Lonchura striata: one gene and its partner. The protein of the gene in region 1 interacts with the protein of each later gene in a pairwise test. Links are inferred from orthologs where the notes say so. Each region holds a gene or a part of one and is shown on either strand. Other genes may lie near its edges.

The links.
Region 2: the proteins of MAB21L3 (region 1) and AGGF1 interact in binary tests that used the Homo sapiens proteins (3 or more experiments, as listed by UniProt). The two-hybrid records come from large-scale screens. The link is inferred for Lonchura striata from reciprocal best matches to the Homo sapiens genes MAB21L3 and AGGF1.

The regions. Positions count from the first base shown.
Region 1 is NC_134604.1:27,124,336-27,140,152, forward strand, and holds the start of MAB21L3 (protein mab-21-like 3), read left to right. Parts: upstream 1-9,238; 5' UTR 9,239-9,291; coding exon 9,292-9,339; intron 9,340-13,547; coding exon 13,548-13,688; intron 13,689-15,762; coding exon 15,763-15,817.
Region 2 is NC_134642.1:13,288,528-13,303,452, forward strand, and holds the start of AGGF1 (angiogenic factor with G patch and FHA domains 1), read right to left. Parts: upstream 7,268-14,925; 5' UTR 7,236-7,267; coding exon 7,035-7,235; intron 6,086-7,034; coding exon 5,989-6,085; intron 5,533-5,988; coding exon 5,327-5,532; intron 4,618-5,326; coding exon 4,471-4,617; intron 2,865-4,470; coding exon 2,676-2,864; intron 1-2,675. UniProt on the Homo sapiens protein: Promotes angiogenesis and the proliferation of endothelial cells. Able to bind to endothelial cells and promote cell proliferation, suggesting that it may act in an autocrine fashion.

The DNA of each region.
Region 1 (15,817 bases):
TTTCATCATCATGAAAACAAATCTTTGTGTAGTCTTTATATCCTGTAGACTTTTGCATTGTTTTCTCATTCCTGTTTAATATGAACTAACAATCAAAAGTCATTGCCAGGTGAGAGCTGAGTAACAGGAAATTGGTAACGGGGGCAGGGGGAGCAGATCCAGTTAAAAAATGTAGTTGTATATGGTTGATGTGTGTACTGTTAAATATTTAATTTGGATTAATGGAATACTGAGTGTTATGAGCCTTCCCATGTTAAAATGAGGACTGATATATTTCAGAAGTACTTTGTCTTCTTTAACTGTGTTGGTGTGCTGTTGTTAACTCAGAGCTGTACTGCTGGAAAGTCTGTTTGTAGAATACTTCATCTGAGAAGTCACAACTAAAGACAGCATAAGCTTTTCCACAGTAGACCTTTTATGGTGATATATTCATATGTTCTGTGAACAGTTGTTGGATCCATCTTTTTAAGATGTTCTTTGCCATAGGTAAGGGGCTATAACAAATGTTGAAATATTCAGAATAATTGCACTTACCTATTCCGTTTTCTTATTGTATTTCCTATGCATACTGCCTTATCTGTATGTATTGTGCTTCACTGGAGGCGTGAAAAGTAAATATCAGGTTCTTAATTTACAATGTGTTAATGAGTTTTTTAAATAATTCTGTAATACTAAATATTTTCCAGTGATCTCTGTCTACTAAGAGAGGGTGATGATGGGTAAGCCCAGGTGAATTTAGTGAAAAAGTTAATATTGGTTTCTTTACTTTCTCTTTTAATTTCTGAATTATTTCAATAATTTTAAATACATATCTTCCTTCAAGAATTTTGTAGAGGCTAACCTATGTTAGTAAGCCAGCTTTTAGGTGATTTGTAACAGCTCTGATACTGCCTTTGACTCGTACAGTTCATCCAATGTCTTTGTAACTTATTTTGTGCCTTTTCTTCCCCTTACACAAAATGTCTCAATAAAAACAAGTTCTTTTGCAACACTGCAAACCTATTTTATTGTACTGATTTTTTTTTACTTGCCTGACTGTTTTGTTTTGTTTTCTGGAGGGACAAGAAGCTCTCAGAATAGAATAGATATTTCTAATGGACTCTGCAGAAGAAAATTGACAAGGTGGAAAGCAGGTCATTTTGGAAAGGCAGTGCTACAAAGCGCCTGGGAAACTGGGACTGTCAGTACTAATCAATATATTCCACCATATCTATCACAAATCATTTCTAACAAAAACTGGCACCAGTGGAATGTGAGAATCAATTTACTACTGGCTTCAGTTGTGCTGATTGATGTTGAAAGACTGGAAACACTTTGGGGGGTTTAGCATAGTGAAATGTCTGTGGTGGTGTTACTAACATGTACTGGGGGAGTTCCCATAAGCTCCAGTTGTCCCTTAAACACCCCTTCTTAAAGTGGATGCAAATGCACAAGGCCATAGTCCCTGTCCTCAGTGCTCCTGCCAAAACATTTCGTCAGGGAATGGCAAAATTTGAGCATTTGTCTTCATTACCTGGCAATGAGGTGATAAATAGCTTGACTGCATTTCCTGTCCCCTGTCCAGTGGCAAAGAAAATATTGTCAGAATCTGGAAAAAGTGACTGTAGGGGAATAGGGATCAGTGCTCTGTTCTAAGCTGCCGTTTCACTGTTTCCTCTGCCAACCCTTGCTTTGTTAGAGAGCAGTTCATGGAGTCCCTGGGTAGCAGAAACTGAGTAACCCTGTCCTCCTGTGAATGCTGTTCTTCCCTCCTGCACCAAACTGTTTCTCTCGTACCAGGTGGCTGGTAGCATTATTCACCTCATTTTCCATTTGAAGCACATCTGCTCGTTTCCCTCCCTCCATGAAAACCCAAGGAGCAGAGAGATGGCTTGCTCCTTCATGCAGGAGCCTGGCCAAGCAACTTGCTCTGCATATTCCCTGTGGTTTTATTCCATGATTGTTTCTCCTCCCCCACTCTGGTTTTCAGTGCCCTTAATCTGCATTTAACTAGTTCTAGCCCTGGATATCTGTCCCGTGGCCTGTCACCGCCTGGAGCAGATACAGCACAAACGATTGACCCTCTCCCTTTGGCAGTTTGGTTTTGGTTGCACAAAACAGCCAATAAAGGGGAAAGGGCTGGGCAGCTGATTATGGGAATTAGCTTGATGCTGTATAGTTTTATGGGTCTGAGATAAAGGAGGAAATGTTTGCTTGAGAATGAAATTGCTTTCTCTCTTTATTTCTCCTGCTACCTGCTTTTCAGATGACAAATTTTCAGAAGTTATGGACTAAAAGAATCCATATGTATTAGCCAGACATAGCTTGGGCTGGAGGCTGTTAGCTCATCTTCCAGTGACTGAAGCTGGAGTGTGTAGCTATTCAGGTCATTATGTGATCTGTCTAGAAACTCTGAAAAGACTTGACTGAAGCCTCTGTAGAGATTCTGACAAGGCTTGTTCTCACTAGTTGGCTGATTATCTTGGTCTGCTTTGTGGTACATATATCATACTTCTGATAAAAACCAAATTATTTCTCACTTCTGCTGGTGCTCTCATTGTACAGTAATTGTTCCCACATGGCAATTGTTTCCCTCTGGGCCCATGCATTGCAGAGTCCCAGTGACTCTCCTCCCCTGCTTTCTTCCCATACAAAGCATGTAGCTGTCTGGGCCTTCCCCTGTGTTTTTCTTGAGACACTTCTACAGGTATATTGGCAAAATCTTCCTTTAATCCCTACTGCTTCTTCAACTTCTTCTTTCCATCCTCTCCACAGTGCCACGTTAGCCCTGGGACACAACACCGTGTCCAAGTTGACATATCCTAAGGATCACCTGGGAAGTCTGGGATCTTTGACCTTTGTGTGTAGTAGGGTGGCAAGCTGTGGAGTTTGATCAGACAGCTTTGATAGTGGATTGGCACTGCTGCTAACCAAGATCATACAGAAACACATCTGCTTTTCATGTGGTTCTGACAGAATGTGATTATCAGCTGTCCTCACTCTGTTGGGGGCTTTTTGTGGGTTTTGTTTGTTTTGGGTGGGAGGGGATGGGTTTTTTTGCTTCATTATTGTTGGGGTTTTTATGAGGTTTTCTTTGTTTAGTTTAGCTTTTTTTTTTAAATCTCGCTCTCTTTCCACACAAGTATTTATTCCAGCACTCTAAAATAGCTCCTGAGGGCCAGGCTTTTTTGGGCCTGGAGGCCCTTCTCAGTTTCCTTGCTCAAGCAGGCCTGTTTGCTCTGCAGTAATTGTATTTTGATAAAGAAAAGGCAATAGATCTTAGGGGTGTGTACCTGTCATTGGCCTATGATATATGAGACCTAGTTTCTAGCTCTGGCTCCACTGAACTCTTGTACATTTTTTATTAGTCAGTGACTGAATGAAGCACATAAACAGGGTTGCCAGTCTGAGTCTTCTTTCTCCCAAGTGAGTTTGTGTTGGAGTGACTGTTCTCACTTAGCACTGGTAATTTACTCAATGTACTTCAAACTGCTGTGGACTGAAGCAATAAGTTCTGAATCGGGTAAATTTGGACACAGCAGCAAAGTGTAAAAATAATACAAACTAACATTGTGCTCTGAGAGCAGTCACGAAAAAAATACCAGCTCCTGGAAATGCAGTGAATCGAGTCTCATTCAGCCCCTCTTGTTGACAGAGCATCATTGCAAGCATGCTTCTTGGTTTGGCTCTTTTAAATCTTGGACTTGGTTTCTCTGTCCCAAGTTACTGTGCCCCTAAATTTAAAATGCTTTTTTTGACACCTGAAAATAAGCAGCAAACCTGTGCTGACATCAAAAGTGAGGCAGCTTTTTCTCACCTGAAAAGACTTCCAGTGCTAAAAGTTTTCCCAGTTGCACTGTGCTCTGCCAAACATGTTTCTTCCAGATGCTGTTTTTCTAATCATGTGTTTAAATCAGTGGTATCAAGTATTTCCTTTTCAGCATGCAAGCTATTTACCTAGGCATATAATAAAGATGCTGGAAGGCTGTCATTTTTGTGGATGTTGGCTGCAGGTAGGTTTTCAAGATGGTGGGACATCCTGATTGAAACAGTAAAACAGTAGTTGTAGTTTAGTGATGGATAAAACATAGAGGAAAATTATCCTTAGAAATGGTCTAGTGGAATATTTTATGTTTAAATTATGATGCATTGAAATTACATTCTTTCAGTGAACTTTCAGAGGATAGTACAAGGATTCAGAACTCAAATTGCCAGTTTTCCTGTCCCACATCTCAGTACACTCTCCTGGAAGCCTCAGAGCTGATGCAGCCAGACTCCCAGCTTCCTGCCTCTCCTGCCGTCTTCTGAGCTAACCATTTTAAACTTGGAAATTTCCAGACCCTGAACACATCACCACACTGTGTCCCAGCGATGTTGGCAATATTAGAAGCACTGCTGTGTGATTTATATTTGCTGCCCAGTGGCTTGATGCTTAATAGCAGCTGCAAAATGGACTGGATTCTGATGAATTTCCTAGTTGAGGCTGATCAGTAGTGGGTAGCAGCATTAGAATCTCAGCATTTTTCAGAATTTCCCACATGCTCAGTTGGTGATCACTCTCTTTGGAAATACTACACTGCAGCCTGAAAACATTCAGGTTGTAAATAATTTGGGGTTTCAAATCTCTTCCCAGATTAAGAGAACTCATTTCTACTGTGTTTTTCTGACGTGTCTGGTATGACCACAAATGGAAAAAAGATATCAGGTTTTATAAATGACTGGACCTGATCCAATCCTGTGCTTAGTTTGGAAAGGATGTAAACCTTTAACTTGCATGATATGAAGTGCAGGTCCAAGGCTAATGTGAGAATGTGTGGCAATGAGAACAAGCAGCAGAAGCATTCGGAGCATTTTTGAGCCTGACAAGTATTGATTGGTAATGGGAGGGAATGAGTGGAGAAGCATTTCAATTTGGCACCCATATGTGATTCTGGTGCTGTCACAGTGAATTAGCAGGACTTTCTTTTCCCTCTAGTCCATCCCATGCTTTTGTCATTGACGTATCCCCTTTGCTCATATCAACTTGTTTAAAGACAAAGTGGAAAAAACCCAAATAAATTCCCAGAACTTTTGCCCCCAAAAAGCCTGATTATGTTATGCTGCTATCCTCTGAATGGAGGCTGAACAGTACTAACGACTGTCACAGCATGGATGTTATAGGGGATTCAAGCTACAATTACTCATTTTGCACAGTCACTTAATCCACTAATGGGGAGAAATGGGACAACAGTTTAAGAAGGCAAGAGAACTGTCAGAGATTATTAAATCTGTTGGGATCATTTGGTTTAGTGGTCTGTCTTGACCCAAGTACATGGTTCAGCTAATGCAACAGACTTAATGCCTCTGGTAATTAGAGCAAGAAGAGATGGGTCATCATTAGCAACTAGAAATTCAGGGTTGTATTTCATCTGGAAGGCAGCATTTTCAACAGGGCTTATTTGTTGCCACTGCAGATCATCTGTGAGTCACAAGTGGTACATTGGTCTGACTCATTTGTGTGATTTAGCAGAGGCTTTTTAATACATGCTCACTGTTCCGTATGAATAGTTTTTCTAAATAGTTGCCCAACAGAAAAAGACACAATATTGGACAACCCTGTGCAGTTAAGACTGCTGCTCTTATTTACAAGATGTTGGTGATTTCTTTATTGTTGTGCAATTCACAGTTCATATTACTTTTGATTGTAGGTTTGAAATGTCTTTGTCATATCTGTGAAACTGAAGAGTGAAGAAAGGAAAGCCAAGCAAGCATAGAAAGCATCAGTAATTGGCATCTTCACAACATACAAGAGCCAATCTAATACCATTCAAGGCATATATTCACAGAATACTTTCACAAGCATTTCACAGATCCAAAATCATATTCAGTCCTGCATATTGCCAACAGCATGAATGAAAATTATATACCACAGATTCAGTGTTTTTGCAGATACTAGGAAATTTCTAAATCCTCTTCAGAGTACTGCTATGTAAATGAAGATGCAGGTACAAAGGAAATTATCCACAATCTGAACTTCATTATAAGGTACTATAAAATGGGAACTGAAATAATACAAATGGGGTGATGTAATATAGCTGAGTCATTTCATATGATCTTATGCAGATCAGCAGACAGGGAACTGTGATTTGAGAAGACCAAAGTATTTGAAGTGTGGCTTGAAAATGCTTGAGAGAAACTGTATAAATCAATGGATGCTCATCAAGCAGAATTTGGGTGTCTGTGGTTGGCTAATTAGATATGTGATGCTAAAAACCTCATCAGAGACACCATCAAAGAGGGAAGGAAGGTTGCAGGGCTTCAGCAAGAACTGTCTGGAGAAACTTGTCTCTCAAAAATATGCCCAGACCCTAGTGAGGGCCTAAGGCACTTCTAACAATCACTAGAAAAGAAAGAGGATTCAGAGGTGTCAAAAAGATAGCCATTCTCAGTGTGGATGGGAATCTCCTTAGAAACAAGTATACTTAGGAGTTTAATTTGCCAATTTAATCAAGCTCAAAAGCTCTCAGTAGTGCTCATGTCCATGATATCTGATGGATTGTGAGCTAACTAGAACTGAAGAGTGGTTTTGTCTTCACATGGTTGCCTGGCTTTAGCAGAGTGGTTTTTATCTCCATGAAGCTGTTGTGAGCTTTTTCACAAAAGAATGGGTCATCTGGTCCCACCTCTCTGCTCAAGCAGGGTCATCCCAGAGCACATGGCACAGGATTGCATACAGACAACTGCATACAGTTCTGGAATATTTCCAGTGAGGGAGATTCCACAAACTCTCTGGGCAACCTGTTCCAGTGCTTGATCAGCCTCACATTTAAGAAGTTCTTTCTCATATTCAGGTGGAACTTCCTGTGCATCTGTTTCTTCCCATTGTCTCTTGTCCTGATGCTTGAAACCACTGAGAAGAACCTGGCTTCATCCTCTTGATGACCTCTTTCTTTCCTTCTGTGCTCCTTGAAGAGCGAGGAAAAAGGAATAGCCATTTTTCACTCCCTCTTGCTGGTGTGCCTGGGGAGTTAAGTTGTTGTAGGCTCAGGGGAAATATTTTCTTATGAGATTGTATTTATCAACTGTTGGAGCTTGGATCCATTTCCAATTTTCTCCACCTTTATCTTACTTTATACAAGCAGAAGGTGCCTGAGAAGGACCCATCTGATGGAGGTTTCTCTGCAGTATCACTGCATCAGCTCAGTAGACCTCACTGGAGAAGACTGGATTCTTCCCACTTTGTGTCTGCATCCTCTTTTATCTATGCAGATGTTCTGATTTCTGCTCTGTCCTTTCTCTTTACTCTTTCCTTCTGATGCAGGCTTTTCTCACAGTAACATTCCCTCTTCACACATGGCCTCTGCCTCTACTTTTCTGCTGCATTCTGTGCTATCTGCTCCTCATGTGACAAACACAAGTTCTTGTGAGGTCAAGACTGTCTGCTGCCTTTGATACCACTCTAATCTGTATTTTGCTGGTGGTGTAAAGGTCTTTATCAGTTGTAGTATTTACTGTAGCCGATTAGTAGCATAATATGTGCTACTTACAAGATGGAAATAATGGATGGATTATAATATTAAGGATTATGAACATAAGGTGTGTTATTATATAAAAGACAAATGACCAAAACCACTTCATCTCTCTGCCAGCACTATGTCTCTGGACAGCTGTCACGAGGAGAGACCTTACAGGTGCAAGAAAGAGAGACCCTTAATCTCTCCTTGCTTCATAATACATGTCTGAGGGTCTGAGTATTAAAGTAATGTCGGGTGGTGTCAAGAGTGTTAAGGAAGTTGTCTGCTATATGTGCAGCTGACTGACTGAGGGAGCACCAGGGACTTAATGTTTTAGGGGCATGCTTTTAATGCTCTCTTGTACATTCTGCTTGGATATAATCCCATTCAACCAATCCCTACAAATTCTGTTCCAACCTGTTATTTCACTTGCCTTCTTTCAGACCCTGCCTTTTATCTGGCTTTCCTAGCAGAGCTCACATAAACTGCTGTCCCCTCAGAGGAAAGAGAGCCAGTGAATCCTGAAGTGAGCAAAAATATGGTATGAGTCCCTAGACATTGGGGAATCGAGAAAATCTTTTTCAGTGCCCAACTCTAGTGGAAGCTGGTTTGGGAAGTAAATACCTACACATCTTTGTGAAGGAATCTTCAAGTCAGTAAGAAGACAGTGGCAGCTGTCTGTCAGAGAAAGGTTTGCTTTGTAGGTGCTAGGGAAGCAGATGTCTTGCAGGTATTTGTGCTCCAATTAATTACTTAAATTAATGTATTTCATATTTGACGTAATGAAGGACGTAATGAAGGATAACTAGCAACAACAGTACCTCTCCTGAGGTAGCACCCAGTGCCCACCCATGTGCTGCCTTTTGCCAGCTGCTGCAGAGGCAGTAAATCTTACCCAAAAGTGGAGTGTGCCTTCCTTAATAAGGAAGAAATGCTTAGCAGCATGGGGTCTCATGTCTATACTCTGTCTCTCCCTTCTATGTGCTGATGTACCCTTCTTTCTAAAAGCCACCAAGCTTCATTGGATCAATGAGGCCTGATCAATTGTTTTTGCCTCTGAATCATCCATATGGGGTTGTTAGCTGAGCTGCTGGCAGAAAACGAGAGGCAGCTTTCTGTCTGTTTACTGTAAAGAAAGAGAAGCAGGCTACAGGAGGGGACAAGCTGCACAATATTTACTGTCAATACAGCCAGAGAGAGAGGGGAGATATAAGGAGAGGGGAGAAGAGGGGAGCAGGGGTTGCAGACTGCAACCCCAGTGAATGATATGAGTGTAAAAATACCCATATGTTTTCAGATGGAAAGAGAATGGATTAGTCAACAAGGAATAACTTGTTGAGAGCATTTAAGAAAGGGTGTAGTGAGGCAGGGGCGTACTAGTGGCATGCAGATTAATAATGCTGTGCATGTATGTACTGAAGCTGCACTGCAATCTGAAAAGCACTTCCAGATCTGCCCTGAGACAGAGCAGTTGCTGGGATTTTTTTGTGTATGCCTGCATGCAAGATCCACCATTTAAAAGTAATAAGATTAATAATAACAATTGAAGGTAGAGAATAATATTTGGAGCTAGTTTTCTGAATGAGCTGGAAGTCACCATTGTAGCTCAGAGCAGAAAAAGAAAATTATTAAAAATAGGCATGCTTCCTTGCTTCTCTCTTCTCTTACTCACCCACAGCACAGAGTTGTTAGGTGAACTGAGCTTCACAGGGCAAGAAGGCTCTGAGCAGCTCTCTCTGAGTGTTCCTCTACTTCCAGAGGCAGGTGAACAAGTGAAGAGTGAATTCACACTTTAAAGAGCAGCGAAGACCATCTTGCCATGAAGCCGTTCACAGATGAAGATGTAGAAATCTACATCCAGAGCAAGGTAAGACTTTATCTGACCAGATTTTCTGTCTCCCACACTAGGTGTTGATTCTGAAGGGTGCCAAATTTGACACTTAGTTGCTCGCCTGCTGTCTTCATTTCTGAGACAAGATTGGGTGAAGTTTCATGAGAACTGTATTTCTAATGAGATTTCTAGGTTTCTGTTGTAGAATCTTATCTGCTGGTAGCCTAATTTTTCAAGGTGTTTGTCCTCTTCTTCTAGGTGTCCTGAATTTTTGTTCCTAATCTGGAATTCCAGATGTGAGACTAGCTGTAATTGACAGCATTTAAATCTAAGGAAATGTCCTTGCCTCTCTCCCTGTCTGGTGGTCTTGGCTTGACCAAAACAAGACCAACACCAGCCAGGTGTTGCCTCTAAAAAAGATTCATGTAGGAACTGCAGAGGCAGACCAATATTGTTAGAATTCAGTCATCAGTCTGTCACCTCAACTTAGGATACTTCTCTATATACCATGATTAAAATAACATGTCTCATTAGCATATGCAGACTGGAATCTCATTTTCTATTTTATAAGATATTCCAGCACTCAATTTTTCCCCCATTATGAAATGAAATAAAACAGAATAAAATCTTCTGTGAAACAATACTGTTTAATAAAAGTTCTAAGTGAGCCATAACATTTTTTAAAGCTGACATGTTTCATGGCAGTACTTAGCTAGATCCTGTTTTATTGTCTGCTTTCCCCAACAAAATGCAAGATACCAAAGTGACAAATAATTTCAAAATGAGAAAGTGTAAGGCTTTATCTTCTGTAAAGGATCACATATTCTAGTACAATGAAGGGGCTGGTAAGAAAGGTTTGTTTTCTCTGTGGAAATGTTTTGGTGGCAAGTAGGAAAGTTCTCCCAGAAATATACCTTCTTCAGGCATGCAGTGTTGTGCACAGGAAAATAATTCCATAAGAATCTGTTCAGTGAGCTATAACAGAGAACACTTCTCTGAAGATTTAAAAAGCAGAGCTACAAAGGAGGGAACAGAGGGAAGCCATGCACAGGAAAATGCTCATATGACAGCCATAAGTACAAGGAACAGAAGCAGGCTCTAGTTAAGTGAGACTCATAGTTGCCAATATTTTAGATTATACTAGAAGTCTGTTTTCTAGCAGCCCTCCAGCTCTGATGGATTCTTAGTTTCTGCCTGCTCCTGAGCCTCTTGTCCAACTTCAGGCAGTTCAGCTTGTCAAATGCTGCCTGTTTTTGGAAATAGGTCAACCACCTGGTGCAATGAATCTCTATAATACCAGAGATTTCATCCTTAAGCTGCTCATCAAAGGAAAAATTTGAATGTGTATGGTATGGATGAGGCTGGGTAAATAAGGGAAACAGTTTCTAATAAATCTCAGTCCTGCTTCCTTCCCCCTTAATAAAATCATAATTGACCTTGTTATTCAAGTTTTGTGCATTTATTTTAGCACAATTCCCTGAGTTAAGACCTAGTAAGGGGAATGCCAGCGAGTCACAGAAGTGACTGTCCAGCAAATACCATACAGTGTCTTTCTTCCAATGTGTCTGTGCTGGTACTAGAAGTATCTGAGATAAATGCCTTGGCTCTTCAGACTCACCTTCTGTTTTCTGATTTTTTTACCCTCCCTTCTGTAGGAAGGTTATATTTTCCAACAGGATGATTAGGGAGCTAATTATAGTTAGTTAATTATAGTGAGCACCCTCTGTCAGTCACATGCCCATTGTTTTTTATCCCTGCTCCAGTGATGGGGAGAACACATGGAAAGAGGTGTTTAGTGGTACTCCCTCAACTGGTTTTTTTTTTTTTTTAGTGTATATTATAAAGAATTCATGACAACTGCTGTAGCCTAGTCAGTAGGTGATGAAGGCAGAATTAAATGAGGCCAGGCTGTGTTGAATAGATTTTCCCTGGATACTGGAAGTGGCAAAAAATGTTTCCAGCAGGTGCCCCTTAGAGAGAGCAGAGCATGAGGAATGCATAAAGAGGGCACTCTAAGTCTCTGTTTGAGCTGACCCACTGTGTATACTTTTTATACTTTTCAGTTTTAAAAAAGTCTTTTTTTGCATAAAAGCTCTTAGACATGGACAACTTTCTCTGCCACACACCATTCACTTGTTGGAGAAACCATTAGGTATCTTGTCAAGCTTATTGGACTATTCTAAGGAGTTGTTCTGGATGAACAAAAATAAGGTGGAGAAAATAGATACAGTATAGATACAGATGGAGAAGTGCCATAAATGAAAGCTGAGATGAGGAGGTGAAAATGAACATGGGCTAAAATCTTTCAGTGTTTTTTGGGTTTTTTTTAAGTACATGTAAGTAGCTAAAACTGCTCTTAAATAAAATGGTGAATTGGAATGAGGAGGAGGGTGAATTACTAGGGAAATTAAAGGGCATTATATAAACATGAAGGACTACATGGTGTTAAGATAGTAAAGAAACAGAATGTCAAGGGTGGATGAGAGCTCAGTCAAGGGAATATGGTGCTGTTGCCTGACATATTTCCCACTTTCAAAAGCTATTCAGGCTTAGTAGAAGTACTGTTAACTTTGTTGTCTGAGGGAGGAAGGAATTCAAACTCTGCTCATGTTCAAGTTCAGTGTTAGTCAATTGCTGTTTATGGGCTAATGGATATGAGGCAGGCGCTAATCCACTTTAGTCCATTGAATGGTCCCTTTTTATGAAGAAGTGGATGTATTTGTCCTCTTCCAGGCCCTAGGGACACATTTCAACACACTTGTGTGTTTTTGGCTGATAGTAAAAGAGACTAGGGAGTTGTTTAGATGCTGAAGAAGATGCTGAGTAAACAGGACACAGGAAATTTAGAAAGCCATAGGCTGGTTTGGGTTGGAAGGCACTTTTAAAGATCATATAGTGCAGTTTCCCTGCCGTGGACTGTGACACCTTCCACTGGACAAGGGCTCAAAGCCCTGTCCAGCCTTGCCTTGAACACTTCCAGGGATGGGGTATCCACAGTTTCTCTGAGCAACCTGTGCCAGGGCTTCACCACCCTCACAGTACAGAATTTTTAACTTATGATTTTGCTTCCTTTTGGTCTTTGATAATAACAAAATATTGTAGCAATTATATTTGACTGTGGCAATTATGCTTTATCATTCACTTTAGCCGAGTGATGAACTCTGTTTCTGATTTTTTTTCTTGCCTGCAAGCAATAACATTTAGTAGAATATGGTGAGGAAAAAGAAGAATCAAGAAGAAAGCAAAAGCTGCAACTAAATTAGATGAAGCATAGGATCCAAAAATGAACAGTAAACAGTCTTAATATTTCACTCTCCATAAGTAATTCTGCTTGTATAAGTAATGACAAATATGTTCTTGAACTTTGTTAACAGCTGAATCTCCTCACTTTGGTAAATGTGTAAGGATATTTGGGAAATATTAAATGTCCTTTACTAACATGGTTCCTTCATGTTCCTCTTGTTGAATGTCCTTGTTCAGATTGTGACAGTCCCCTTGTGCTCCCTTAACTTTTAGTCATAAGTGAGGTTCAGGTTCATCTTATATTTTTCTGAGTTGTCCACTCATCACCTCAGTTGTCCCAAGACTCAGACATTTCACTGAAATAATTTTCAATAATTCATTATGCAACTACTTCTTGAATTGAAAAACTACCCTTCAAGCCACACAAACACCTAGTTCCCAATGGGGCCAGTTTTGGAAATATGCTTTCACACTGTCTAGGAGTAGAGTTTCATCTGTACTTCAGCCATAAAGAAAATATGGATACTTTCAGTGTAAAAGGTAGGCATCTAACTGATGCCACATACATCTGCCACCTGACTAATGGACAAATCTCGAAGTCTTGATGTCCTGTCAGTTCTTGGAATGGAACATATTCTGACTTTGAGAATGGCTACCATATGCAGGGGAGTAACTGGTATTCTGCATCAAATGGATAAAGACTTGAGACTGTAGAATTAGTTGGTAATAAATTTATCTGTGTAGTGAACTCCCTTCCTTCCATCCAATGGTGTTGGCATGGAAATATCAATTAATACTCAATAGTCTTGAATATTGACCCTTTGGTGTTCTCAGCTCTGTCTCATGGTAAATTGATTGCAATAGACTGGGGAACAATTTTTATTCCCAGTGCAGCACAAGCGCAAATGTTTCAGGATGCTTTAAGCTGATTTGTGTGCTTCCCACTGGAGACTAAGACTGCAATTACATCTAACATGAAGTGTCTTTTCTGGAACTGACAGGTGGAACGGCGGCATTACCTGGTTTCCAAAGCAGTGGAGGAGGTGCAGAAAATCATCCAGCAGCTGACTGCAGAAATCAGCTACAAGGCCGTGCGATTCCAGGCTATCTCCAACTCTGGCATTCACAATGAGAACATCAAGGTATGAAGAAAAACCTTAATGCACTCTCTGGCAGCCTGTAGGCAACCAGAAAGTGATTTCTCCATTATGTAAGTGTTTGTATGGCAGGTACCTCACCCAAACACCACAGACGATGTGCTGACACCACTGTGGAGTTCTACTGACTGGGTCATTGGCACTCACTCATGGACATCTCACAGCCAGAGGAGCATCCAAGAGAGATGGATAAATCAAGCAGAGCCTCTTCTTGCAGCTGCTGTGTTTACAAACAGCATCTATTGCCAGAGCTGTCAATCCACAAACAGAAGCCAAAACTCTTTGGGAGTCAGAAAGAAAAACTTATGCAGCAGTAACTTAAGAAAAAATGCTCATGCCTTCATGAGCTATGACCCATATTTTTCACAGGTAAAAAAGCTGTCAACTCACTAAAAAGGATTAAAGAAGAATTAAAAGTCCTTCTTCTGCTATGAACATTAGAAAGTTTCTTCTGAAAAATATGTTTTTTTCTTTGTCATGAATTGGAATTTCTTTTTCATTAGGAAAAAAATAATTCTTATTAGTGGGAGAATTGAAATGCCTCCCTGCTTTAGACCTTCAGACGTAAAAATAGTAATGTCCTTCCCAGCTGTGACAGAAGAAGGCTGCTTATTTCTTGTGACTCCATTACACAAAAGTAACTAGTAAAGACACAAGAAACAATCACAGCAATGGTAACTTCAGATGAAAACAATTTTTTCATCTGAACTAGTTGAAATAATAATGTCAAGCATTATACTGAACCACAGCCATTTACAGATCAAAACACAGCAAATACATAAAAGCACGAGGCAACTTTTGCAGCTCTCTGGGACTGAAAGGGAAGAAGTCTTTGTATGAAGCTGCTGGAATGGTATGGAGGTGGAGGCAAAATAAAATCACCCAGTCTGAAATGTGGCCATTACCCTGGGGACAAAGACATTCAGATTCATAGCTTTTCTGGATTTCTTGTATCCCAGAGCATGTGGTCTTGTCAGTAAGTATGGCCACAGTGATAGTGCCACATCCTGGTCCATGAGTTCCTTAGTGCCAGACTCTGCCAGGCACCTCTTGTGTGGAACAAACCTGCTTGGCTAATGAGGTCTGACAGGACCAGGGTCAGGGTAAAATTGTTGCTCCGGAAAGCAAAGTAGAACAAGACCACCAAGGCAATCTATTATGAGCAGTAACTTGATGTTATAGTATGCAGATCTGAACAAATTCTGCTTGAAAGAAATCCTCAAAATCTATTTCCTTAAAAGTGGCAGATCTGTTGTTCGTGCTTAACTGAACCCAGTGTTACAAATCTGTGGAAGTAACACTAGGAGGAACTGACTAACTGTCCTATTTGTGTGGGGCATGAAAGAATGGGTTGATGAGAAATTATTTGGTTTGGGCTGTCTACTTCGAAAGATTGAAAACTTTAATACTGTTGCTGACATACTTTAACATAGAGGAGACTTGTGTCCAGGGAAAGTCAATCTATTCATTTTTCCATGTTCAATTTCGCAACATATTTTTTTATGTCAGTTAACTCTACAGGATTTTTCAGAACTTTCAGCTTCTGGCTAAAAGGAATCAATTTAACATGGTGAGAGATCTAAATTTATTGAGAAGCCTCAAGCTCCCTTCTAAATATGAAGGGCTGAGTGGAGACTAGTTAAGAAAAGTCTTCAGGTATACAGTGTTTTCCTGTGATCCATGTAACAAAAAGTTATGCTTTATTGAAAACCTGAATTAAAATTCATATGAACAAAACAGATTATTTAATTTTTAAAAGTTCTAACTGTTTGGGTTTTTTTGTGGCCCACCATTTTTGGAGCTGTCAACTGTGCAGGGCTGATGAAAATTCAGTAAAGTTACAATGAAGAGGGGCAGACTAATCACTGGTACTGCACTGTCCAGTGGCATTGCCAAGTGTTTAATCAAGGTGGGGGAAATGGGGGGGGATTTTCCTTCAACAAACTCCAAGCATCCGGGGAAGCTTGCAGCTTTGCTCTGTGAATGAATGACCTTTGCTGTGAATGAATGATGCTTTCTCTCTGTTCTGTCCACTTGTCTTCCTTTCTGCTTCTCTCAGGATCAGCCAGCTTTACTGGCCAAGTGGTCAGCTATGCTTCGGAGGAAGCGCCCAT
Region 2 (14,925 bases), on another chromosome or scaffold:
GTTCCAGAAGGACATCCTGCTTTCTTAACACTAGTGGTCCACAGCCCAGGCATTAAAGCAAACCCTTCTCCTACCTCTACCATCTGTAGAAAAAGAAAGACAAGTAAAAACCTACTTTGGTCAAAAAGTAAGGCAATGTTGGGACCATTTTTCAGGCTAGCAGCACAATTTAATAATTGATTGGGAAAAGCAGTAATGAGGTATTAGTATTCAAAGCATTGTCATAAACTTCAATCATTTAAAGTGTTCAGGGCAAGAAAAGGGAGAAGGCTGTGCAGTAAGTTTGGAGAAAAGCATTTCGATATTACGAAGTCCTATTTGAAACCAGATGTTTTTAGAATTATTCTACCATGAACTAATTAGTGCCTTTGCCAATACAAGACTGAACTAGGCAACAATTGCACTGCTAAAAAATACCATGCATCTATGCACTTGACTGTGCAACTTATAAACTAGTTTTCCAATTTTATAACAGAAAAATACTTTTATTCTAGAAAATCTTGATCATTATATTAATATAACATGGATTTTTAAGTGACTAATAACCACAGTACAATAATAAAATGTTCTAACTCAGCTATGTAAACTATATCAGTAAGTTTTTCTTCTAAATCCAGCACTGCATTTACAAAGAAGTGCACTAACAAGAAGGCATTGTTTTATTTTTGAAATTTAAAATGGAGAGTGTTCTATGTTTCACTGTGAATTCTCCTTGTTTTTGTTTAAAAAAATAAAAAAGACCATGATTACTTCTTTGACATAGACCTTCATTCCCTATTCACAGAAGAAAAGATCTGGGCACTACAGTATACTTTAAATGTTTTCCATGTTACCTTGTTGGTCAAACAAATTAATTCACAAATAAATCAAAGTACTCAGTTCACCATCAATAAAACAGACAAGAAAAAAAAATTATGTTTACCTCCTATCTTCTGACTGTGGAAGTCTCACAGAAAAGATCTGTTAACAAGATTATCTAAACAAAAACACTGGTATAAAATAAGATTTAGACAAACCTCTATTTCTAATATAATCAGATTACAGAAGCAGACTCTGATGGGAGTCTAAAATGTAGTCAACATTATTTGATAGGTCAGAGCTATACATGATTTAGAACTTTTACAAACATTTTTGTTGGTTTAGGTACCAGTTCACCACAGAACGAAATTTAACAGACATATTAATCAGTTTATGATAAAGACTTATTCCTATGCCTAAAATCCTCTTCACGATTCTTTCCTGACCCATGATGGATAAAGTTCTGTGTTGACCAATGCCTTTTGAGAGGGGCAGAATGCTAATTCAGCATTTGCACAGAGCAGGCCCAGAACCTGGCTGCTGGTAAAACTGCACTTCCACTGCATTAGCTCTCTTAGGTCTGAAGAATTATTATGCTTAGTGTTGCCAAGTACCCAGATCAAACTTTCCACATGGAAAGGCTTACTTGAAGTTTCCTCAAGGAGTAGAAATTCCTGCATTAGCCACAATTTAATTGTAAAATGTGTAATCAGTCAACAACGACTGTCCATTTAACCTAATTGCACCTTTTCTTAATGTAAACAGTTTCGATTTTCAAATCTTTCAGATGACACCACTCCTGATTAAATTTTTTAACTGTGCACTGATGTTATATGACTATTATGTACAGGTATCTGGACAGTAATGTAATTATTCCAGATTTTAACCAATCTGCATGTCTGAGGCCTACATAATGAAACTATGTAATGGTTAAAGCAAAAGCTCTGAAGGATGCAAACCAAGGAGAACTCAAATTAGAGAATTCAATATATTAAATTTTATCTTAAGATAATAAAACAAATAGAGAGAATAGAACTCAACATCAGTAAGAGTGTTCATAATGGAAATTCTTCCTGAGGTTTAACAGCTGTGTTAGTACTTCTTGGTGTTTAGGAGTCAGTAATGTTTTCCAAGACAGCACACGACAGGGTATGCTTTCTTAGCACTCAGGACAATTTTGACACATATTGATTACAATGGGCACTTATTCTGATGTACAGCTTATCCTCACACTAACGACAACGAAAATACAGTAAGAATGTATCAATAGGGGAGCATAATATGCAAAGAAATAAAATTTCAAAACCACCAATCCTAAATGATAGCAGGGACACAGTAAAAGGCGAAGGACTACACGCTGGAATGGAGTCACAGAGAAAGGACTGTGTATGAGTGTATTTTCAAAATTTACATTTTTTGGTTCATAATGCGAATCTGAAAAAAAAAATCCAACCAAACAAGAAACCAACACCAAATCACAAGCCAAAATCCCAAACCCAAGACATTGCCACTGAAATTCTGATGTAAATCCAGCCCACACAACACTGAATTTATTCTAGTGTGCCTGCTCTTCAAAAAACTTCACTGACACTCAGTTGTAGACTCCTCTAGAGCTGGGTAGTAATACAAAAAAATTGAAAAATTGAGAGTATACAAGTTAAAAGTTTCATCCTTAATCACTCAATGAGAAAGTTATTTGAACACTAACTACATGTTAGCAACTTTACACATGCTGTATCTAGTTTAAGTATGTTTAAATAGTTTACAAAATAAAGCATTCATTCTCTGCATAAAACCAAGCCCCACAACCTGTAAATTGCAGCATGGACAAAAACCCAACAGATTTTGTATTTTCTGTCCGTCAATTTTGAGGTTACCTTATACTCATCTGCAGCAATCCACTCTGCTTCTTTTCTCTTCTTTTTTCCCTTTTTATCCTTGGTGTGTTTAGTACCAGAGGCCTGGTAAGACTGCAGATCCACTCGTGAATGAAACTGGTATCGGCCGCTTTCCACATCACAGTAGTAATAAATTCCAGTTGCTGGGTCGTAATACAGTTGGTTTTCCTTTATAAGAAATGAAGAACAATGTTATCATCACTTCAATAAATATACTGTTCAAAGAAACACCTGATTAATAAAGAACCACATTTTAATTTTGATAAAATGAAAGAACTGTGGTGGCCCTGAGAAATGTAAACAAAAGTGAGTTGTGGGCAGCAAATTTGGGGTAAATTACTTCATTACCTGAAAACTGTAATTGGAAGATTAAACCCCAAAATGCAAATGGACCAAACTTATCTAAGTATAAAAACCTGTGATCTGTCGTCCATTTTTTGGATGTATCCCCTGGGGAGGCTTTGTCTGCCCTAAATATACCTGAAGGCCCTTCAATAAATATAACTAATTTTTATTACCTCAATTTTGTCTGGTCTCTGTTTTTAGGTAGCCAAAAAAGGCATCATAAGGAGCTACTTCTGTGTGGGATCCTCCATGGACTGTAGTATGAGTAGGTTCCACGTGGTCTGCTCTATGGATTCAGGAAATTGCCTGCTCTGGTGCTAGGAGAACCTCCTCCTGTTCTTCTTTGCCCCTGATGTTCACAGGGTTATTTTACACACTCACTCCCCCGTACAGACTCCACTGTGCAGAGTTATGCCCCTTCTTACACTGGTTTCAGATAAGCACCACCAGCTCTTCTAATGGCTGTGCTGTGCCCTGCAGTGGAACCAGCCATGTCCAGGCAGCCCTGGCCCTCTTCTCAGAGAGGCTTCCTCTGCAGCCCTGGCCTCATCATCAGAACTTTGCCAGCAAACACAATGCAAGAACATTTCCTGCGATTCAGAACACTTATGTACCAAGAAAAGTCTATAAACTGTAATCTATAGCCCCAAACATTTATGTATAACTATATGAACAGTGTCAAAACCAATGGTATCCTTTAAGATCTCAAAAAATAAGTCCAGAAGCATCCTGAGAAGAGTTGTGTACCTCATGCATTTTTTACAGTTGAGTTGAATATAACAGTGCAAACAAACTCTGTTCTCAGTGCAGTACAGTGTATACATATCTTTCCACAGATCTGTACACATATACAAACACACCTCATAGGACAAAAAGAAAACCTTTGTAAAAGCTACATGAAAATGCATAGCAAAAAGTAACTATTAAGAATTCTGACCCATCATCTAATCTTCTTCTAACACTTCTAAAAGAAGTGTTTTCTTTACCTGTAGAATCAAACTAGTTGCTAGCACTACTCAAATAAAAACACAAAACATTTTGCATATTTTCTCCCAATACCCTTTTCACTGTGGAGAAGCAACTGACTTACTTCAGAAAAATGTCTTTTTCTAAACAAGACATCTTTAAGCTCAAGCCTTTAGGTTTGAGAGAGTTACAGATCACCTTTCTAGCATAACATCTGTACAATGCCAAGTAACTTAGAGACCTATGAGACATCAAAATAACAGAATTAAAATCTAAATGTGTGTCCTAGCCTGCTATCTTTGCCTGAAATGATTAAAAAACTAATTAAACACTATTCATTTTCAGTAACCTGTTTTTCAAAACGCAAGATCAGCTTGGATCTTAGTTCTTTGCTCATCAGCTTTTACTAACAAAACTTTTGCAATAGACAAAAAATTCCAAGGGTTTTGGAAATGATCCTTACTGAATTGTAGTAGAATCCAGTGCTATGGTCGTAATACAATCCTGTATTTTCATCATATATAAATCCAGTCTGTGAAACAGCAGCCTCTGCAGCAGCTCTCAAACTCTCTGCCAGAGAACCTTCTGGTACTGAAGTTTCTTCTGTCTCCTGATAACAGAAGGTAAGGAACGTAAGTGGTCTATGAACTTGGACTGTTTCAGAAGGCAAAAATCTGGCTGTGGTTCACTAGTAAACTCCTACTGATTTCAACCGGACCAAGACTTCAGCCCATGTCTTTTGTTTTTCCCCAGCTTTACTCGAAAGTGACTCACATAAAATACACGCACAAGAAACATCTTTCAGAGCATTCCTAAGACAGATTTCTGCCCTCTGTTCTATTTCAGTTGCTAGATGCTAAAGCACAAACTCAGTTAACTGAGCGACCTAAGAGAAGGCTGGAGTGCAGGGAAGAAAACCAACCCACCACAAAATAAACAAACCCCACCACCAATGTTCTTTTCCTTGTATCTTGCTTCCTTATGTTAATGAAACAAAAAATAAGAAGCACGATTTGTGAAAATCAGAATGGATATATTGGACATACTCTGCTGATAAAAATAATCCTGCTTCCAGGCTATGCAGGATATATATGTCTTTTTACAAAAACTCTCAAATTCCAAGACACAAATCTAAGAGGGTGTTCCACTTGGAACACACTACAAAAAGAACTAATTTTGAAGTACAAGGGTATTAGCAGCACTAGACCATCAGAAAAAAATATTTCACAAAAAGCTCTCAGGACCACAAGTACATCTTTTAGATGGAATATTAAGAGTACTGATTTCAAAACTGGTGAAACTCCAAACAGTCCAAAAACCTGTGAATTCTGGATGAAATTTTCCTCTTCTCCACCTTCAATAGCTTTGGTGCTATCCTTCCTCAGCGGAATATTAACATCTGCATCCAATTCCTCTGTGGAATTATGCTCAGTGCCTTCACTCCCATGACTGTGCTGCACTGGTAGTTCAGATGCACAATCTTGAGTATCAGTGTGACTGTAATAATTTTCATAGTAGTAATAATCTGCCAGGGGAGAACGGGAAGAGAAAGAAAAGTTGAAGTTGCATAAATTAGGAAGGTATATTGCAATTTAAGGATACTAAATCTTAAACTGGAAGTTTATGCAAGTAAGTAGTCGAATGAAAATCAAATATTAAGTAGTGCCTCTACTCTGAATTTATTATCCTACTGAACAAATTATGTCTTTATGTTTTCATATACTTCACGACTTGGTACAGCTGTATGTTTGCAACATGAGATTACTATGGAACAAATTACAATGGAATGAATTCTGCTAGTCCATGCTACATTTAATCCTGAATTAATACCTGGAGTAAACAGGAAACGTCTGAAAGATAATGTCAGGTTACTGAATTTAATTCAGCAAAGGATGTAGACCTGAAATATATTCTATATTACAACATTTTCAAACTAAGATAGTGTTCTATATCCCTATTTAAACATCACCACTCTCTCTACCTGCTTGTGACCATGCAGCACAGTCCTCTGTCTGTACTTCTACACTAGACGTATCTTTCTCCTTTCTATTATGGATTTCTTCAGTGAGTTCTTCTACCTGAAAGGAAAAATTGAATGTTAAAAACACAATACTGCATTTTAGTGGTCTGCCATCTCAGAAAAGAGAATCAGCCTATTTTGCATTCCATAATTTAAACAAAACATAATGGCATCATAGATGTTTCAAGTGATTTGTTTGTCGGAAGATAATTTTGTACTTGAATGGTTGGCATAAAGAAACACATAATTTCTGCTCACAAAGGAGCAGAGAAACTTAATTGAGGTTATTCCTAAATGTCCACCCTGTAAAGTTGGATTTCAAGCAATGGTCGCTGTTCTGCAGTGACGACTGCAACATTTACAAAGCACAGAATATTCTGAACTAGAAAGAACCCATCAGGATCACCAAGTCCAATTCTTGGCCCTCCACAGCACACTTCAAGAGTCACACCATTTGCCTGAGAGCATCGTCCAAATGCTTCTTGAGGTCTGTCAGGCTGGTGCTGTGACCACTTCTCTGCGGAAACTTCCATTGCCCAAGTACTCCGTCTGGAGAACCTTTTCCTAATATCCAACCTGAAATGCCCCTGGCACAACCTGAGGCCGCTCCCTCGCGTTCTGCCAGCGGTCAGTGCTGCCCGCCTGCCTCCCCTCACAAGAAGCTGTGCCCCGCCATGAGGGCTCCCTAAACGCCTCTCTTGCCATAGGCACTCACGGAGAAGTTTCGCCACTCTTCCTTTACCCCACACTTCGTACGATAAACTTCTTTCCCTCTGCTACAGGTAATGTTCCCTTCAGAATGCAAATCTAACCCAGTGGTAGAGAAGGCGTTACCATCCTCACCACGATGCTCCGACTGGAAACCTCAATCCTCCTCTGGCCGCTCGCAGGCCAGGAGAGCCCGGCGGGCTCGGGGGGCTGAGGGGCCGTGCGGGACGGGAGGAGCGGACGGGCGGGGAGCGGCCCGGGCGGCACCCGGCCGGGGGGCGGAAGGCTCGGAGCCCTACCTGCCTCCTGAGCGCCTCGCCGCTCTCCCGCTCCCGGCGGAACAGGCGCTGCGTGCGCCGCAGCCGCCGCCGCGCCCGCTCCAGCTGCGCGCGGCACGCGCCCAGCTCTGCCCGCAACGCCGCCGCCTCCGCCTCCTCCTCCTGCTGCTGCTGCTGCTCGCCCGGGTCCGCCCGGCTCTCGGCGCCCGGCGGGGAGGCCATGGCCGGCGGCCCGCCCCCGCGCCGCAGCTCAGCGCCCGCCCTCCGCCCGCCCCGCAGCGCCCGCGCCCGACGGCCCCGGCCGTGGCGCCCGCCGGGCAACGCCGCAGCGCACCGAGAGCTGTCCCGCGCGGGCCTCCGTCCCGCGGGGCGAGCAGCCGGAAGCGGCGCGCGCGGCAGTGCGCGTGCGCGTGCGCGCGAGGAAAGGGCGGGGCCGGGAGCGGGGCCGGGAGCGGGGAACGGGGCCGGGAGCGGGGAACGGGGAGCGGGGCCGGGGAGCGGGGAGCGGGGAACGGGGAGCGGGGAGCGGGGAACGGGGCCGGGAGCGGGGAACGGGGAGCGGGGCCGGGGAGCGGGGAGCGGGGAACGGGGAGCGGGGAGCGGGGAACGGGGCCGGGGAACGGGGAACGGGGAGCGGGGAGCGGGGAGCGGGGCCGGGGAGCGGGGAGCGGGGAACGGGGCCGGGAGCGGGGAACGGGGCCGGGAGCGGGGAACGGGGCCGGGAGCGGGGAACGGGGCCGGGGAGCGGGGAACGGGGAGCGGGGCCGGGAGCGGGGAACGGGGAGCGGGGCCGGGAGCGGGGAGCGGGGCCGGGAGCGGGGAGCGGGGCCGGGAGCGGGGAACGGGGCCGGGGAGCGGGGAACGGGGCCGGGGAGCGGGGAACGGGGCCGGGAGCGGGGCCGGGAACGGGGAGCGGGGCCGGGAGCGGGGAACGGGGCCGGGGAGCGGGGAACGGGGCCGGGAGCGGGGCCGGGGAACGGGGCCGGGAACGGGAGCGGGGAACGGGGCCGGGGAACGGGGCCGGGAGCCGGAGCGAGGAACGGGGCCGGGCGTTGCTGCTGCCGCGACAGCGTAACTGTCGGGGCCGAGATGAGCATGAGCAGCACCCCGCGAAGGCGGGGCAATGCTCGGACCTTCCGCCGTCGTCTAACCTGGCTTGGCGGTGCCGCGCAGTTGGCTGCTGGCAGTGGGTCTCAGGCTTCCAGCTGCATCATACAACAGAATGGAAAGTAATTCTAGCGGGTACTTACATGCGCACATTTTTGTTTCGAGGATTTTGTGTGTGTGTGTGTTATTTTAGAGCGGGGAGGGGGATGCTGCTTGAGGTTTCTCGGTCAGCAGTGCGGCGAACCACGCCGGCTGGAATTGCCGCCTGGGGTTGTTGCAGCTGCAGCCATTGGGACAGATTCTAAAAGAAAATTAGAGTTAGTTAGAATCATTCAGAGTCACTGCGGGGACCTGCAGCGCTGCAGCCCTGGATAAACTTTTGTGCCTCAGATTTCTACAAAGCAGTTACAAAAGGTTCTCGGGCTTTCCCTCTGAGCCCCATCTCAATATCATAATTTTCCACACTTAACCTCGCAGGCTTTTTATTTAAAGTATGCTTTGTCTCCAATGACAACAGCGCCTCTCAGTTTTTAATAAATTGTGTGATACACTTTGTTGCTTTTGTGTCTTACTGCAGAAATGAGACGTATATCATATCATAGTAGGCTATTAGATCACAGCCTAATAGCTTTCAGATCTGACAATAGTGAGTGTGTTGTATACCTGAACATCTACATCTGCTTTCAGATATGTCCTGAATGATGCACCACTTTTACACTTCAGGTTTCACCTCCGTTCCTTAAGTAACGGCTTAATTTCATTTACAGGCATATGTTTTTAAGATACTATATTTCCAAAAAATATAGTCCAAAGACACCTGAATTTGAAAGCCATGGTACCTGGCAGTGCTATTTTAACAAGAATGCTACTGTTCTCTGTGAGGACTTGCAGTCATGTGCTGTGCATTAAGTACTGTTCTGACTGGAAACCACCACAATCAAATGACTGATCTCTAGAAGATGGGCTACATGAACAGACAAGAAGTAAATCTTCTGTCCATATCCTAACTCAAAGAAAATAGGGAAAAAATACATGTGTTTTGTCTTTAAAGCATTTTGTGGAAGGGTGTAAAGCTCAGCTGTGGACTGGAGGTCCTAAGATATACTAAAAGAACTAACACAGTTTCAGACCTCAGTTTTTCTCCTCTGTAATTTCTCATTGGAAATGTATGTCTCATCAGTTGAGAATTAGTGTATTGTCTCTATCAAGAAGTTTTATTTTAGGTAGTGGCTTTCTTTTGCATCAGGATAGTTTCACTTAATGTGTATAAGTAAGCAGACCTGAGCTGGAGGGAGATACTTCCTGAAATAGCAGATTTCATTCACTGCCCTGTGTTAAATTGCCTGAAGTTTAGGGAATGGCACTACCTTCTTTTTAAAAGACTGGCCTTTGATCTGTAAGTTAAATACTCAATTGTAGAAGTAATGGATGTTGCAGTTTAGGCAGTGAAAAGAAGATGAAGAGTGATGCCAGCTCTCCAAACAGTGCCTATTCCTAAAGGTTTGCAGCAGACAAAAATGGAGAGGGTGGAGGTGACATGCATCCCTGCCACCAGTCTGTCAGTGCCACTTTCCTACCCATGCTCTTAGGGGCCCTTGACATGGACTGAGGAACTGTTGTTGCCACCACCCCATCTGAACTCCTCCTTCATCCTCTGGGATTGAGTAGTTACATTTGGAAGTTTAGATGGCATCCCAATCCAGCTAGACAGGAAACAGATGCTTAGCTCTGGCACCTTGTGTATTAAAAGAAGGTGAGATTTTGGTCACAGGGGCATTTGCCATCAAAGCACAGAGGCCTGTGGAATGAAGATGAAGTGGTTGTAGGAAGCAGGGACAGAAAGGCTGCTGGAGCACAGACTGTCTGGCCAAGGGCATTATCTCCAGAAGAGCTTTTTTCACCAAAAAGCTGTCACGACCCCAGACCTGCATGCAAGAAGATGCCACAGTGCATGCTGCCTGCACAGGCAAAATTCAGGACCCCAACTCTGTCAGGGCCTGGAGGTGAAGGAAAGGTGAAGTCACAGAGCTCTGTTGCTGCCTGTTCTTTCCTTATACTGATGCTATGCAGGAACAACCAAGAGTTGCAGGAACATTGGCCAGCCTGGCTTGCATGGCTGGCTACAGGACTACTCTCTCTTTTTCCTGATTCCCCTACCCCAGTGGAGGATGTGGTCCTCATCTATTCCTTTTTGCAAGCTTCTCCTAAGGGGAGTGGAAAGAGGTGGGTGGACGAGTGCTTGAAAGTATTGTTGCTATCACATCTTCAAGGCATTGCCTCACCTCTGAGATGGTAAAGGGTTCTGTGAATATGATTACATGTGTTTTCTATTGCAAAAATGGCCTTAAACATAGTGATTACAAATTCCTTGAAATTTGTAAACTTGGTGCTCATAGTTCCATATTCTTGTCTTGTCTTCTCTTTCTCCATGTGGATGCCAGCCCCACTGCACTTCAGGTTTTGGGGTAAATCTCTGGCTGTTCTTTTCTGGTTCAAGGTTTCTTAGGAAGTGGTGATAAAAGGCTTGGCAGATACGTGTTTTTAGCCTTGCAATGACATGGAGATTCTGAAAAAGTTCTTCAAGTGATGGTAGCACACCTTGAGACATGAATTCTCACAGCAAAATCCTCAAAAATCTTCCTGGAACTTAATGGTTCTTTCATTAGCATACCACATTTGATGAAGCAATGACAAATACAAAGTTCAGTGCCCGAACATCCTATTTAAAGTAATAGTAGCACTACGGCACACATCACAACCTACACATATATCATAAAGAAAAATCAGCTACAGGGAAATGAAAGAGAAAACCAGTTGAATCAAGAAAATCTGTAGATCGAGCTGCAGATATTTTCAGCAGGGAACCCAGAGATCTTCTTCCCTGTCAGCACTCTCCTTTTCTTATGGATGCACATTAATTAAAAAAGAGATGCTTCCAAACTTGATCTAAGCTCTCTGGAGTGGTCCTAAGCTTTTTTTAAGGTGAGAACATTTTCTAGAGTGGCACTTCTCAGAGAACAAATTCTTTAGTACATCCACTGGAGTCACATGGTCTACCTCTTGCCATGGTGCTGCTTTAAAGAAGTCAGATTGCCTGTGAGTGGATTAAGGGCTCCTTTGCTGTGATGTGGAGTCAAAACTACGGGAGAGCAGAATGTGTTATGCCAGAGAACTTCATGGAGTTCCTCAGAGCTTGGGCTGATCACTGCCTTGGCTTTGCTCTTGTCTGTGGTACCAGCTGATTGCTGACCAGGGGTCCTAGTAGCATCTTCTCAGAGACATGAGGAGTATTTCTGCAGAAAAGCAGCCCAGAACATTATGTATCCAAACAGAAGACAACTGGTTAGTGACCTCTGTTCTGATAGGTACTGAGGATATGGCACAGGGGTTTTGTCAAGCAGGACCAGGATGTGCTTGTGAAAGGCTGCAGGTACCAGCAAAAAGTAATTTGAGCTGGAATTCATGCTATATAGACAGTTCCAGCCAGTGTTGACAGCTTGTTTTGCCATGCACAGAGATTTCAAATAGAATCAGTGAACTACTTGCTATAATCTACCTGTAGCAACTTTGAACCAGTTTTAAGACAACAGTATTAATAGGATTTAAAGTTTCTGCATGTGAGATTCCTTTTGTGCCTGCACCATGGGCGGCTGTCTCCCTGTACAGCATCTTAAGGCTTCTAAGTTTCCATAGACACCAACTGCATGTAGTAGACCTACCCATTGTGCTATTGCAAGGACAGGCTCCCCAGTTTGCAGCTGGGGATATTGCTTCTGTGTTGAGGTATTTGAAAGTGAGACATCATAGCACACAACTCTGCAGAGCTTGAGCTCTATGAACATATTTCCAATATTCCTAGAACTTCTGACCTTGAGACATTCAAGGGTAAGAATGTAAAGTGAACTCAGAAAATCCAAACAGGTCTAACCATGACTAGACAAGGACCAGTGGTCCTTGTCTAGTCGTGCTTCCCTGTAAAGCAGGGGTGTTAAAATAAATAGCTTTTACCACTAGGTGGCATTTAAGGATTGGGTTTGGTGTTTTTTGTGTTTTTGTTGGTGCATTGTTTCCTTTTTCCTCACTCTTTAATTTTTTTTTTTTAATTTAATGTTCTGAAATACAGTATTGAAAATTGCCTAACTAGGCCAAAGGGATTGCTAACCTAATTTTCTTCTTCCCTCCAGCTGCTGGAGACAGTCACTGAAATTGACTTGTGGCTATTCTTTGAGGTGATCTAAGGGCTGCCAGCAGAGTAAAAAGGAGCGAGATTTGCCTATTGCCTATAGGAATTGGTACCCTAAGACAGAGTGAATAATTTGCTTCTAAGGGACAGCTTCTTTCTACCCTTCTCCTTAGGAATGCCTGCTGCTGGGAGATAACTAGATCCTTAGTGCTGTAGGGTGAACAGATACCTTAGCACAGACACCTGAGCTGCTCCAAAGCCAGAATGTTCTTTTCTGAACTTGCTGTTAATGCAGAAGAGTAAATATGGATGTGCTGTTCTTGCTGTACAAGAGATAACACTGCATGCATTTTGTCATTACTCCCTGAGGAGCTTGTCTCAACCAGCACATGCACACTCAGAGCATGGGTAGCTCACCATCCGCCTACCAGTATGGACAGGTCACAAGAACAGCGTCAACCTAAACTCTTTGGCTTTGATGATAACTTGGCTTACACGTTTTATAAAGCCTATTAAATACACTTTTTTCAGTGGCATAAAGTTTCCAAATATCTGAAATATTTTCTTAGTGATTGTGAATAAACCCTGACAGCCTTGCTGAGTCGCAAAGGCAAAAATAGATTAATGCAGGAAAGATTCAAAGTGGTAAATGAAGCTTGTCTCTGAAGACAGCAGAGTTCAGTATCTGAGGCTTGGGCTGAAGATCCCAGAAAAAAAATCCAAAAAACATCTGATGCTAATGATGCCAAAATAGTTGTAGGTAACCCTCTTTGCAATGCTACATCCCCATTGCAGAAGGATCCCACTGGCACGACAGTGATGACAATCATGGTGGATTTGTTAGCTTGTCATGCAGGTGAGATCTGACTTTCCTGTGGGGTGTAGTGCTGTAGTGTCCAATGCCTGTTGTGCTCACGTCCAAGGAGACTTCCCACTGTGCTCTTTCCAAGTACTCCTGTGTAAACCTACTTCATCCGCTCCATCTACACTTCTGCACCAGCCCTGCTGACATATTTCTTGCTCTTCACCCTGGTCTCTGCCAAATCTTAGGCTAACAATGGCCAGGCAATGCCAAAGAAGTGTGTGGCTTGCCCTACACACTGCCTACAGGGCCCTTCTCTGCCCGTAGCATGCCCCAGAATTAAAGATGACAGTGCTTGTTACAGGAAGAGAAACAGTCACATAGGCCAATCAAAAGCAGATGGCTAAGACCAAGAAAACTGCCTGTGTGGGTTTTTTATCATGTGATAGCAGGGCAGACAGTGTGCCCATATCTCCATGGCCCATCACACAGTAAGAACATGTGAATTTTACACCTGTTTGATCAGCAATTGTTAAACTTTACCAATTACTACTAATAATACTACAATACTTATAGTATTAATTATTACATGTATTTTTGGAAGTCGCAGTATTCCGACTTCCTCTCATTGTGCTACAGTTGTTGCATAATTTTTAAGTTCTGGTTTTAGTAAAGAATCAAAAGGAACACAGAAAGACTGGATGATGTGCAGGTATGAATTTGGAACACTTAAATTGCTGACAATTAAAAAGCTCTCTTTACAGGAATTTTTCTTGCAAATGCAGAACTTTTCTAGTTCTAGTTACACAGTTTCCACTTGTGTAACTGTGGGGAATATGAAAAAAAAAAGTGAAAGAGATAGTTTTGTGAGGGGAAACAGGAAGCAAAGGAAGCAAACTCATCACTGGGTTAATTAAACTGTCAGGTTTCTTCAGCTAACTCATATTTAATGAGAAAGTCTATAGGTGTATTATCTGTTAAAATGTAGCTGGAGTAGTGATCCCTAAACTGCTGTAGTCATTTATAGCCATGGACAGATGCATTTAACTATTCATATTGCAATGCTATTATGTAGAGACTCTAATTAAGAACAAATCAGGTATGACATGTTTTAATACATATGCCATATGAATTACCTGACATTCTTCTGGAAGCCTGATGAGTTAAAATGATCTTAATAGCTTTATTATTGGAATTGGAGCCAAATGAAATTTAATCTCATTAAAACAACAAAAAAAGTCAATTTTTAATATTAATTATTAGATTATTAAATGAGAACAAAATGCAACTCAATGTCCAGACTAGCCACAGTTTTGGTATGAAGACAAATTTTTAATTTTTACATGTTTTTGGATTGACATAGGCAATACATCTGACTTTTATCTAGTATATAGGATTTTTTTCTGCAAAAAGTACCATCTTTTCTAGTCTATGATAAAGTAACATTTAGGATTGTGAAGTTTTTCACAAAGCTTTTTTCATTCTCAGCAGCCTCTTGAGTCTGATTCATTCCTCACATCCAGAACAGCTTCCATCCCTATGGAATGGAACAAAAGTTGTGTCAGATAAGCAATGTTCAACATTATATCCTGTTCCCAATTATACCCCTATTATTTTCCTGTGCTTTCTCCTTCTGGGGGCCCATTTGTCCTGAAAGAGAGCACTGAGGCTGTAATAGTTTCAGTTTGCCATGTGAAACAGGTCTTTCAATTGAAACTTTACAAAGGTATTTGTAAATATATTGTCAGAATTTGTATCTGTATTTAACTTGTACTTTCATGTCACACACACACACACACACATGAGAATAGAAGGGGGTT